Linked DNA regions of Arabidopsis thaliana. The protein of the gene in region 3 interacts with the protein of the main gene of each other region in a pairwise test. Each region holds a gene or a part of one and is shown on either strand. Other genes may lie near its edges.

Evidence for each region. The genes of interacting proteins can lie anywhere in the genome.
Region 1: the proteins of DER2.2 (region 3) and UBC34 interact in a protein complementation assay, tested with the Arabidopsis thaliana proteins (one large-scale study listed by BioGRID).
Region 2: the proteins of DER2.2 (region 3) and AT1G07860 interact in a protein complementation assay, tested with the Arabidopsis thaliana proteins (one large-scale study listed by BioGRID).

Annotation. Positions count from the first base shown.
Region 1 is NC_003070.9:5,916,316-5,921,977, reverse strand, and holds UBC34 (ubiquitin-conjugating enzyme 34), read left to right. Parts: upstream 1-1,635; 5' UTR 1,636-1,999; intron 2,000-2,001; exon of another isoform or gene 2,002-2,780; 5' UTR 2,781-2,815; coding exon 2,816-2,872; intron 2,873-3,075; coding exon 3,076-3,130; intron 3,131-3,543; coding exon 3,544-3,582; intron 3,583-3,664; coding exon 3,665-3,728; intron 3,729-3,828; coding exon 3,829-3,890; intron 3,891-3,956; coding exon 3,957-4,014; intron 4,015-4,091; coding exon 4,092-4,119; intron 4,120-4,283; coding exon 4,284-4,375; intron 4,376-4,555; coding exon 4,556-4,832; 3' UTR 4,833-5,146; downstream 5,147-5,662. Other genes in the region: AT1G17285 (uncharacterized protein), read right to left, coding at 691-760, 866-1,263. UniProt on the Arabidopsis thaliana protein: Accepts the ubiquitin from the E1 complex and catalyzes its covalent attachment to other proteins.
Region 2 is NC_003070.9:2,428,395-2,431,222, reverse strand, and holds AT1G07860 (Serine/Threonine-kinase RLCKVII protein), read left to right. Parts: upstream 1-1,791; coding exon 1,792-1,957; intron 1,958-1,997; exon of another isoform or gene 1,998-2,039; coding exon 2,040-2,281; 3' UTR 2,282-2,312; downstream 2,313-2,828. Other genes in the region: AT1G07870 (Protein kinase superfamily protein), read left to right, coding at 1-118, 216-405, 511-902, 982-1,280, 1,845-1,957, 2,040-2,281; AT1G07850 (transferring glycosyl group transferase (DUF604)), read right to left, coding at 2,504-2,623, 2,785-2,828.
Region 3 is NC_003075.7:2,457,904-2,462,260, reverse strand, and holds DER2.2 (DERLIN-2.2), read right to left. Parts: upstream 2,409-4,357; 5' UTR 2,127-2,408; coding exon 2,028-2,126; intron 1,934-2,027; coding exon 1,834-1,933; exon of another isoform or gene 1,663-1,833; coding exon 1,448-1,662; intron 1,376-1,447; coding exon 1,292-1,375; intron 1,213-1,291; coding exon 1,159-1,212; intron 1,066-1,158; coding exon 883-1,065; 3' UTR 522-882; downstream 1-521. Other genes in the region: CLS (cardiolipin synthase), read left to right, coding at 51-145, 264-357. UniProt on the Arabidopsis thaliana protein: May be involved in the degradation process of specific misfolded endoplasmic reticulum (ER) luminal proteins.

The sequences.
Region 1 (5,662 bases), on a different chromosome or scaffold from region 3:
CTAATAACAGTAATATTATTATACATGGGATCAGCAAAACGACGTCATTTTTGAGTAATGTGTTGGATGCCACTTTGTTTCTTCTTGGTCCAAAAGTTTGTAAACAATCTCAACAATCTGTATCGGTGTTTTAGAGAAGTACAAACTTACATGTCAAAAGGAATCTAGTGCTCACAGCTGTGATTACTTCTTTCATTGTTGCTGTTTTGCAGTGAGGAGTAATCACTGGATATCGAGATAGGCAGCTAAATAGTCAGGATATTGTGAGGTTTCCTGCAGAACAACTTTCAATTTTTTACGGATCTGAGGATGCATTTTTGAAGCATATAGAACCGAGAACATAGATAAAGAGGTTGATCATTTTATATTTAAGGTTTTAAGCACCACTGAGAACAACATGCTATGGCTGAGGATAAGTCTGCTGAAGTCAAATAAAAGAAACCACAAAGCAGAGAAAAGAAGAAGAACTCAAAAGATTAAAGAGGTTGAGAATAGTTTTGGAAAGTTAGACTACTCGAGCTAGGAGGCGTTTTAAATTTTCATCCTATCTTGATCGATCAATAAGATTAAAAGATGAGTTCATATATTTCAAGTAGATTACAGCATTAAAAGCACACATGTCTAGGTACCTATTCTACAAAAAAAACGAAAGTAGAGGATCTAAATAAGGACAAAAAAAGAACTGGAATTTTAAGGTTTTCTTGATGTTGTGATCTGCTGTTGTTTCCTACTTGCTTTAACATCTACCGGTGGATTACACCTGATACAAAAAGAAACACTTTTTGATGTCAATTACACCTAAAACTCATCTTTGGGGATACATAAAAAAAAAGAAAAACTAGATTGTGTCTCGTATCTTCTTTACTTGTTCTGTATAGGGTTTGAGCCACTCCTTGGGATTCTTCTGAAGCTATCATTTTCTCCCTTAAGTGGCTCTTTCTTCATCTCCTTGCTTACAGGCAAATCTCTCACAGCTTGACTCGAATGTGTCATCGTTAACAGAGAACGTCCTTCTACACTATACTTGCTGCTAAAGAAAGCTACAAGTAACAGAACCAGAGCCACTGAACAGCATCTCTTCATTCTGAGTTCTCTTCTTGAAATTTCCTTTAGGACTCTTGAAACCTCTTGACTTTTTCTTGTTCTGTTTTTCTGTGAACTGAGAAAATCTTGGATGGAGATGTGTGTTAGAGAAAAGAGAGACGAGAGACTTCTAAAGCTTGTTGGTTTTATAGAATAAGATTTATGTGTGTTTGAACACATAGTTATTGGGATCTGATCACGTGATCTTACTTTGACTAATGCTATTTAATCAGATGGTGAGATACTTATCTTATTCTTAATCATTTACTTACGATGATGATGATATTCCTCAAGCATCTACATTGAAACAATGATACAATATCATATGTAGAGACAAAGATCCACATATTCACATTACCTAACTCATGTAACTGCTTTGAAACTAAGAGATGGTGGTCATGTGATTAGAGCACGTGATTTCTGCCTACTGTTATCGGGGAACTCAAAAGAGGCTGAAACTTAACTTTATTGAAATTATTTTTTAAGCATAACTTTGGAATTTGGAGGTATTAGTGTAAGTCCAATTTCAGAAAAGAAAAAATTGCAGGTAACAGCTGTTTTGTCTCACTACTAATCACTAGTTTTTTTTCTTCTTCTGCAGCTATTTTTTTTATATTTCATGAAGAGAAGGAAAAATTGATTCCAAGAACCGGCACAGATTCTTTGATGAGTGGTGGAGAATAAAGAAATAGGGAAAAGTGCATTACGCAAAATAATTATTAAATCATTGATCCTCTAATAACGAACCGGAATGGATTATACAATACCGGTCTAACTTGTGTTGAATTTTGTTCGGTTTAGATAAACCAAGCGCGAGTTAGGCTAATTCTTTCTCTCTCTACCCGCGGAGAAGGAGAAAGTGAGATTAACGAGAAACCCCAAGAGAGAAAATCTTCATCGACAAAATTCGATTCAGGTGATCAATTTCTTTCATATTTTCGCAATTATTTCTTGGATCTGATGTTATCTACTTTGGAATTTCTTCGCTGCATTATCTTTTGATTTGTTGTTCTTGTTCCTTTGCGTTTCTGGGTAAGAGCGAAGCTTGAAATTGCAATTGGAATCTCTAACAAGTTTAAGACTTTGCTTTGATACGGTTTATGTGGAAGTATCTGTGATTTTCTTATATATTTATGGAAGATATTGCAGCTGATTCGAGTTTGGTTTGCCTATCATTGTTGCAATTTTCTCGGTTCAATCAAAGGATTTTCTAGGTTGATATATAATTCCAGGGATTTCCAGATAATTTCCTTTAATTTGGTTGGAATTCGATTGAATTTTCGTTGCTTTCAATTGGTTTGCAGTGATTTGGGTGAAAAGATTTTTCCAAGCTCATGGAAATTGGGGATTTTTATTCAAAGGGTGTTTCTGGTGATCATAGAGTTGTTTGACTCAAGTTTCATTTGATCTTGTGTGTATTTGGTTGGTTTTTCTTTTCAATCAGGTCATGAAAGTATTGCATAATAGCTAGAAGTATTGTTATCTCTGTATATGTGTTGTGAGATAGTACAATTGGTAAAGTTTCCATATCAATGGCACGAAAATCAACTGCAATTTACTCGTTTCGATATATGTTTTTATGTAGTTCATATATGTAATTCAGACATAAGGGTTTTATGTAGTCCATCTCATCAGTAGGTGGACTTTCACTCATATTTGTATTTCGTTTTGTTGATAATGTTAAATGGGTGTAACAGCTGCTGCAGCTATTCACTTCGTCCATAGCACGTAGATGGCAGAAAAGGCCTGTATAAAACGTCTTCAAAAGGAATATAGAGCACTTTGCAAGGTACACTCTCTTTACTTGTTTTTCTACCTCTCTCGAGCTGGAACCAGGATTCCATATTTTTATTGCTCAACCAGTTTTCTCTGTACTTTCAAATGATGCTGTATCTATATGTGAATGTTTTCTTGGTTTTGGTTTAGAGTAAGTTTCATATTTTCTTTTGTTTCTTTGGGGGTTATTTAATATGTTCTGTTTTTGGCCTTTAGGAACCAGTCTCCCATGTTGTTGCTCGTCCTTCCCCAAATGACATTCTCGAGTGGCGTAAGCCTTCCCTATCTTTTTTTCTTAATCTTTATTCCTGCTGGCTTCCTGTAATCCTGTTGCAAGCGTTTCTATAAAGATGTTATGATAAGTATATATGATGGACATATTTGCTACACTTGTGAGTATACGTTAAACTAAGAAAAAATGGGATACTACGATCTAAGTAGACAGAAGAGGTCTCACATTACTTTGATGGAATAGTGAAGACTTATTTATCAAAGGTTTATATGTACTTACAATGCATAGATTTGATAGTTTTCTTCTCAATTGTGAAAGGCTGTCAGTGTTACTGTTAGCCTGATAGCGGTTAGGGAGTTTCAGTCTTTCTATTATTACTGCATTTAGTATGTTAAAAAGGGTAGCTTGATCTCTTACTAAAATAGAGTTAAACTATTGGATTAATCTTACAGATTATGTGCTGGAAGGCAGTGAGGGAACACCTTTTGCAGGTGAAAATCTTCTTTTGAAAGTTTCTTGTTAGTGTTGTCTTACGCAGTATCTTATTTTTGATACTAAAATTCTCTTTACCAGGTGGATTTTACTATGGAAAGATCAAGTTTCCTCCCGAGTATCCTTACAAGCCACCAGGGATTACGTATGTTCCAATGGTTCCTCCAAATTCAGTCTCAACATTACTCTTACCTCATTTTTTGTCCAGTTTTTTAATGAACCAAATCTTTTTCTGTTTGCCTCAGAATGACTACACCAAATGGTCGATTCATGACACAGAAGAAAATTTGTTTATCTATGAGTGATTGTAAGGACAATCTGCACTTTCTGTTCATTATTTCGTATCAATTAACTTGTCTAATATCGAAATAAGTTGACATGGCATTTACAGTTCATCCAGAAAGCTGGAATCCGATGTGGTCTGTATCAAGGTATAGATTCTTTCTTTACTTTTGGAAGATGACAATCGATATACCCGTTGATAACCAACTTTTTTTCATGAATGCAGCATACTTACAGGACTTCTCTCATTTATGGTAAGCTCACTGTAGGTTCTACATATTTATGGACATCTTGTTTGAAAATTCTCATATTCTTATATTGTAATGGTTTATTAGCTTAGATATGAATATTCAAAAAGGAAGTCTATTTTTTCTTTTCTGTTCTCAAGCTTTCTCTAAACGTTTTCCTTGCGGCGCAGATGGATACCAGTCCGACAACTGGAAGTGTTAACACTACTGTAATTGAGAAACAACGGTTGGCTAAGTCATCTCTCGCTTTCAATTGTAAAACGTAAGATTTTCCCATCATCAAAAAATTTCAAATTCTGGATTCATATAGAAGCTAAGTTTAGTTATCTGTGGTTAGGATAGTCATAAAAGCTGGTTAGATAACGAATATAGGAATGAATGCAGTCCTGAGATTACATGTTTTCGGTATTTCACCTGAATCCAATGTTCTTACTTGTGACAGCCCAGCATTTCGAAAGCTATTTCCAGAGTATGTAGAGAAGTACAACCAGCAGCAACTAGCTGAGCAAGCTACCACACAACTGACAACACCAGAGTCTCCTCAAAAGAGCGATACCAAAGTCGAGTCAGAGAAAACCATCGATCCAACAAAGGGAGATTCAGAAGGTGGCTTGAAGGAGAGGAAAAAGAACAATAAACAGGGATTGCCAGCGTGGATAATACTGTTGCTAGTGTCGGTTTTCGGTGTGGTAATGGCGTTGCCTCTGCTTCAACTGTGATTTCTATGCAACAAACCTCGACCTGGTTTTCGTATAATCTCTCCTTGTGTCTCTCTCTCTTCAGCATCAAGAGTAGTCTCCTTTTGTCTAGTGCTCTTCGTCTGAATTTACTCATTTAGCACCTCATGGTTTGTGCTTGTAAAAGCAGATAACATAAGTTTGGTTTCACAATTACATACATATTGTAGCTTCGTTGGAACTACTTTGTATAGTATATATGAATTGAGGATAATGGTTTGGATTTGAAAAATAGAACCGTATGGTTTTCAAATTGTACTTCTCCTAGAGCTCACAGGTTAATTTGTCAATTTATGTAAATACTCTGGTGTAGTAACTTGATGAAAACAGAAGTGACAGAGAGAATACACAGACAATAGTGAATAGAATTGTTAGGTATATTGGGCCAATTAAGCAATTGTCCCTTTAGGCCCATTGGTAAGAAAAGGAAAAAACCATACTTAATGATAAATTAAAACCGGTATGGCTGTACCGGTTCAATCTGTCTTCAACCACCGACGTTGACTTGTTACCAATCTTCTTCTTCTGCTCGAGTCCAGTCCAGTGAAAGTGATTATGTTTATGGTTAATAATGTTAACTCTATAATTTAGTGGGAAAAATGTTATTTAATACCTCAACTTACAAAAAATGGTCAAATTAACCGTGAACTCGTGAAATGGCCGTTTTAACTTTCAACAAAAAGTTGACTTCTGTTTTAACATTCAAGTTTGCGTTGACTCGGCCTAATTAACCACCGTTAAAATTCCTTCTAACAGCGTAATTGACAGACGTTACAGAACATCCGTTAAGGTGATACGACGACGTTTTGTGC
Region 2 (2,828 bases), on a different chromosome or scaffold from region 3:
ACAGACTTTTACTTTTCAAGAACTTGCAGAAGCTACGGGAAACTTTAGATCGGATTGTTTTCTTGGTGAAGGAGGTTTCGGAAAAGTTTTCAAGGGAACTATAGAGAAATTGGATCAGGTACTTGTGACAAAGAAAAATCCTATCTGTTTTTATCAATTGGCTGTGAGATTTGTCATAGTTTTGAACGGTTGGTGAAACTTGGTTCTGCTGCTAGGTTGTTGCAATCAAGCAACTTGATCGTAATGGGGTTCAAGGAATCAGGGAATTTGTGGTTGAGGTATTGACTCTAAGTCTTGCTGACCATCCGAATCTTGTGAAGCTTATTGGGTTTTGTGCTGAGGGTGATCAGAGACTACTGGTGTACGAGTATATGCCGCAAGGATCCCTTGAAGATCATCTACATGGTATGTTGTAAGATCAAATTCCTATCCTTTGCCTCTGTATTGTTTGTCTCGCAGCTACCCCCTTTTCTCATCTAACTTTTACATTGTTGTTTTGACTGTTTCAAGTTCTCCCTTCTGGTAAAAAGCCTCTTGACTGGAACACCCGGATGAAAATAGCAGCTGGTGCAGCAAGAGGTTTAGAGTATCTGCATGACAGAATGACGCCCCCTGTGATTTACCGAGATCTTAAATGTTCGAATATTTTGCTTGGTGAAGACTATCAACCGAAACTATCTGACTTTGGGTTGGCTAAAGTAGGACCAAGCGGGGATAAAACCCATGTCTCGACAAGGGTTATGGGAACGTACGGATACTGTGCTCCTGACTACGCTATGACGGGTCAGCTCACATTTAAATCCGATATATACAGTTTTGGAGTAGTCCTTCTCGAGCTTATCACCGGAAGGAAAGCGATTGACAATACAAAAACGCGTAAAGATCAGAATTTGGTTGGATGGGTATGTTTTGTCTCTTGGCTGTGACTCATAATAATCTTTACTGAAACAAGACTCATATTTTCACGGTGCTTTTTAACAGGCACGACCATTGTTCAAAGACAGGAGGAACTTCCCAAAAATGGTTGATCCATTGCTTCAGGGACAATACCCAGTTAGAGGACTGTACCAAGCACTAGCAATATCAGCAATGTGCGTTCAAGAGCAGCCTACCATGAGACCAGTGGTATCTGATGTAGTATTGGCTCTCAACTTCTTAGCCTCTTCTAAATATGATCCGAATAGCCCTAGCAGCAGCAGCGGGAAGAACCCTTCTTTTCACAGAGACAGAGATGATGAAGAGAAAAGACCACACCTCGTCAAGGAAACTGAATGTGAAGGGTCCTCATAGGATATCCAATAAGAGAGTGGTAAAAAATCAAATCTAATTTTGGCTTCACCAAGAAATTGGGGAAAAATATAAAACCAACTCAGGTACATTTTTAACATCTATTGTGGATGTAAATCTTGACTCGGCTTCTTTGTATGTAGAATGTTTCTGTTCTGTAGAAAAGGAAAAAAAAAAAAAACCATTTTGTTTTGGGACATATATACATATATTGAACAAAAACAAATATCGTTGGTCATATATATATTTTCCCGATCAAAAAGTCTGGTAAATTAGGATTAAGTAATGTCTAAAAATTCATAATGATGAATGGCAAAAGTCGTAAATATGTAATAGAAATAGGACTATGATCACGTGATGCAACTTATCCCGCGTGAACCCGTTAAGATTTTTGCCGTTAAATAACCAAAACCTAATCCAAGAAGGCTTCACAAATCTCTTCTCTCTTATCTCTCTCTACTGGTTTTGTGATTCTTGGAAGAGAAGCTACAAGATAAGACAACAATGGCGGAAAGATCATTCTCTCAGCTCCCGATCTCTTCTTCTCACATTGGCAGAAGGACAGGAAACACCCGGAGAGGGATATTTCCGGTATCGGAGTATTGGATCCATGCAATTCCGGTGATCGTTTTTCTCTGTTTCTTCACCCTCTGGATTTTCTCCCACTCAGGTTCCTTATTTCTCCGATTCTTTAATCTAAGAAAAGATTTTCCCGAGAAAATGAGTCTTTCTGATTTTGGTTTTGGTTACAGTGAGCGTCATGAACGATGGAGAGATAATGTCGATACATCGTCTTGAGAAATCCATGGCCGTGAGAAACGAGTCTCATGTCAGTTTAGCGATTCTTGCTTCCTCTGCTGTTTCACCAGCCTCCTCAGCTCTCGTCGCCGTCGTCTCTACCAATCAGAATCTCACAACTTTTCACAACGCAACTCAATCGCAGCAAAATGCAACCCAGTCGGTGAACAAAGCAAAACAGCCACACGCAGTCTAATCTCTGAACGGAGAAAAGTTTCTTTCAGTTTCTTACTGATTTCTTTCATGAACAGATAACTTTCAGGGATTGAATTTTTCTTTTCTTTGTATTTGCTTCAGTTGAAACAATAGTTTTTGATTTAGGATTGAGAATTGTTTGTGAACGACGATACACAGAATGTTTTCAACAAATTGCATAGTCATTTGAAGAAATCTTTAGTGAGTATATATCTGAATCTTGTTAATGCTGCTGAGGATGTTCAAGCTCACTGATCTCTCCATCTGCGCAATTTCCGACCCAAATATACATCGTTTGGTTTCTCCTACTCGGCAATACTCTGCAACAATCCCTCCTCGGTGACTGCACCAAACACACAATTTTAACATCATGTTATTTCAACACCGGTTTATTATATGATCTCAGCCGGTTATCTCTGTCAATTCACTAGCCAAAACCAAACCGGTATGACTATATTTGATGCAAGTTGTTAATAATGAAGCAAAGAGAAGATGTGGACCAACCTTGTGCCATCGGAGGGGATCAGGTCGCTTGAGAACGACGACTG
Region 3 (4,357 bases):
CATCTTTGGTATGTGTAACTGATTTGTTAATGGAACATGTCTATCGACAGGTGAATACAGTTTTCCAGTTGACTCTAGTCGCTGGTGCAATACTTCAACCAGAGTTTGGGAATCCAGACACCCAGACATGGATCACTTATCTAAGGTAATAGGTCTTTTTCGAATTACCACACAGCTGGACTAATCACTACCCTTAAAGTTATAAACATATGAAGTGTGTTCTCTGAAATCTTGTTATTGGTCTCATGTTGTTTTGTATCCAGCTGGTTAGTTGCTTCGACGACTATGGCTTCAACTGCAGCTTATGGTGTACAATACTGGAAGAAGAGACCTATATCTATGATTAAGAGATCATAGTTTCTAGTTTCCAACATTTATAAACTTCACACACGAGGCACATGCTTAATTAAAGAAGCTTGAACATGTCTTGTTGTTTTCCGGAATACGCAGCTCTCACTGTTTTCTACTGCTAACTGAAATAGAAAAGGAAAAAAAATGTACTAAAAGCAATGAAACATTTGTTCTGATATCTGAACAAAAGTACATTTCTTCTGATATCTGAGTCGGGCAGTGAATTCAAAACATGTTCCCTCGCTAAAACATTGCGACACTAGTAGAGGTTGTGTACAAATTGAGTGTGTTCATATCAATAACCACTAAAAGCAAACGATGTTTGTATACACAAAAAGATGAAGAGATGGGAGGAAAGAGAAGGAACCAAAACACACCCAACTACTAGAAACTAGGGTGTGTGGGTCGCAACTACGTGTCAGAGTCAAAATAGACTTTTGTGTATCATCTGCCTTTGCACCATTTATATCTGATCCACAAGCCAAACTACTGATTCGGGTGTTTAGGTTTGGGAAATGTAAGATGACAGAATCAGTCTTGGTGGATTTCATCGAAAGGCGCAGCAGCAAACCTCACATCTTCTGGCCGTGCAACCACAACTGGTTCATCTGCAAATAACGCTTTGAGGAATGATGGAGTCTTTAATGGACGACGATTAGTCATTCGCGGATAAACCTCAGCCAGAAAGTAGTAAGCGTGACCTGCTATCATACCCTGAAATGTTTTGATCAGACTGAAGTTAACTTGGGTGACAAAAGATCAAAAGAGACTGGAGAAGAAATTTTTTGGGATAATCTGAGTATATACCAAAAGATCCACCCAAGCACTGGCACCAACAAGGATAGAGAAGCCAAGAAGCACCTGCAAAAGCCAGAATTTGCAGAAGATGTTATTTATTCATTCCGGTGGAAGTTTAGGGAAACGAGAGAGTTAAACTCACCCATGGTAGGTAAGCTGCTGTGAAGGTGAACAGACCAAGGAAACTCATGTGAATATAAGGATTTTGTTTGCTCCATACATAGACCTGTGGAACACAAGAGACTATAAGCTGATATTTAGAGGCGACTTAGATTTGTGGGAAACAGAAGTTACCAACCATCATGAAAGTTAATGAGTTGCTGAGGAAGATGATTTTAGCAAATGATGCTGACAAGTATGGTATCATTCCACCGATAAGTACAATACCGGTTAAAACAGATGCTCCAAATAGGAGCATGTATAGGAAATCAGCAGTCTTTCCCCTGAATGAGTTTTCTTCAAGGAGTTTGCAGTATCGTGCGAGAAAGAACATATGGAACATGAAGTCCAAATCTACAACAACCCCAAACACATATTTGTTTATAAGCAATCAATCAGTCACAACGCTATTAACAAGTAGCAGCCTAGAGCTAATAATGTGACAAAGACAAGAGCTTCATATGAAAGTAATAAGCACACAAATGTTGTATCCAGTTTCATAGAGTAGTGTTAAGGGAAAATTACCCATCTTCCGGAAATACAAGAAATTAGTAACGAGACGCCAATATTGGTATTGCTTCACCACAAGTGTCGGATTCAAATAAAGGTTATATGGAGATATGATCTGCAAAACAAAAACAATCAGAATATGAAACCCTAATTTAGAGAATTTCAGAGAACCCCAAAAAAGATTCGCGAATAAGCAAGCAAGCACGTACATCGAGGGAACATCCGACGGTGGTGATAACAGCCGCCGTGAGATAAGAGCGAGTGATAATCGGCATCTGTTTATACCATTCTTCTACAGCCTGAGCCATATCTTCTCCGTAATCGCAATCGATCCGATCAATCAAACACAGTAAAAGCCCAACGGAATCTATGGAAGCTTCTTCTTCTTCTTCTTCTTCTTCTTCTAAGGTTTGCAATGAGTGTATTCAGATTTCAAATTTCACCAACGCACAACTTCGAAACGAACGACGAAACTGAGAGATTCGTCTTCTTCGTTTGTTTTGTATATACAGAAATTTATATGTGTATAATAGTTTAACATTTGCGATATTTGTTTAATTACATGAGCACGACTAATCAGCAAGCGCGTGGATTACATCAGCTATATACTATTTTTTTTCATCAATGTATTTATAATTTTGGGTCGAGTCTTAAACAATATCTGATAACAAAAAAAGTATTTATAATTTATATATCATTTTAGAAAAGAAAAACAGAAAACTAAAATCTATAACTAAAACTAAAAAACCTATGATTACAACAAAAAATACTACAAAGAAAGCACAAACGATATCAGTAGTCGTTTGAAGAATAAACATTGTCTGAGAATAATCTGTGAAGCTCAGACATCTGCGTGATTGTCTCAGCTCCCAAAAAACTCGAACCTTTATTTTTATTGCCACGAACAAACCTTAGACGAAGTCAGTCCTCAAAACTCATATAAACAAAAATATCACTTGATATGCTTCGAAAACTTGTTAATTCACTCTCTTCATTTTGCACTGTTTGCCCAACACTGTTAACAAAAATTTTACACATGTACCCCTATATTATCGATTGCGTAAGTTGTAGCTTGTAGAGGGATATTATTGCAGTAGTGTAGAAGAAGATTTTATGTAGATATATTTGGGAAGTTGTGTTATTTTATTAATGGTTTTTTTTTCTTACGTAGTTACTCGTCTCTTTCCAGTTTTGTATGAAGATAAGAGACTGTCGTTTTGAGGCGTAAGAAAAAAAGAAATGATTCCTCCAAATTCTTGTTTTATTTCGTTCTGTTTTTCGAACAGAAGTTCATCTATCAGATTTGTGCTTTGTTCCTCGCGTCTTTTGCTAGTAATCGATATAGATGTTTCCTTTTTATTTTGATTTTGACTTCCTATCTTGAGTTGTTTTACAAGGATTTATGTTTTTTTTTCTAGGAACGATGCTGCCGATTCTTCTCCCTCCCCGTCTGATTGCTTTTGGCAAAGAACTTCGCGGCGAGAGGATTAATGTTTATCAGAAGATAAGGGATTAGCGTGATACTAATGTTATCAGAATGTGTTATCGCCCAACATTGTTACCATTTCAACCTCTCGGCCTTTGTTTATGGGATTTTTTTAATAAATTAACTAAAATGATATCGTGATTAGCAGCCACGAAATTATTTTGTTATTGGTTATAAGATTATCGTGATACCGTTGATTATCAGAAAATGTAAATAGTTTTGATTATTTTTGCAAAACATCAGAATACAACCTGCGAAACTCTCATTATTGTTTTGCTTATTTGCTAGAAGGTATATCGACTAACATTGTCACCAGCTAAGCTCGTTGAGACTTAATTTAAAAGGCTACAAACAAGAGGCTCGCGTTAGCGGATAAGAGTGTATGTTTTAATGTTACCGAAGCGTCTCACTAGCTTTGATTCGTGTCAAAACACAAATTGACATCGTCTCGTTATTATTTTAATTATCTGCTAGTAGTTTTAACGACTAACTTCGTTACCATTTCCACTTGTAGGCTTTTGCTTATGGGTTTTTAAAAAAAAACTAACTAAACGTTATCGTGTTTATCAGATACAAACTTATCATGTTAGCCGTACACGGTTAGTAATCAGAGAGTGTTATTAGTTTTGCGTTAGCAGATACGAGATTATCGCGATACTAATATTATTAAATAGCAATATAAGTTTTGATTCTTGTTCAAAACCCAAAGCGACAACGTGTGGAATCGATATGAAATTATCCTGTTATCAAATTATCCTCGTACACAATTGTTTGAGACTTATTTTAAAAGGCTTCGAATAAAAAGGCTCGTGTTAGCAGATAAGAGATTATCGTGATATTAATGTTACTTAAGCGTCCCACTATCTTTGATTCGTGTCGAAACACAAATAGATATTATATCGTTATGTTTATAATACCCACAACCCCATAAATATCATACCCGCAACCCCATTTTTTATCATGCATAGTTTATTAATTTTCCGATCATCTGAGTATAGATAGTAATATAACCCTAAACAAAACGACTTAAATTACAATTTTATGAGGGATTAT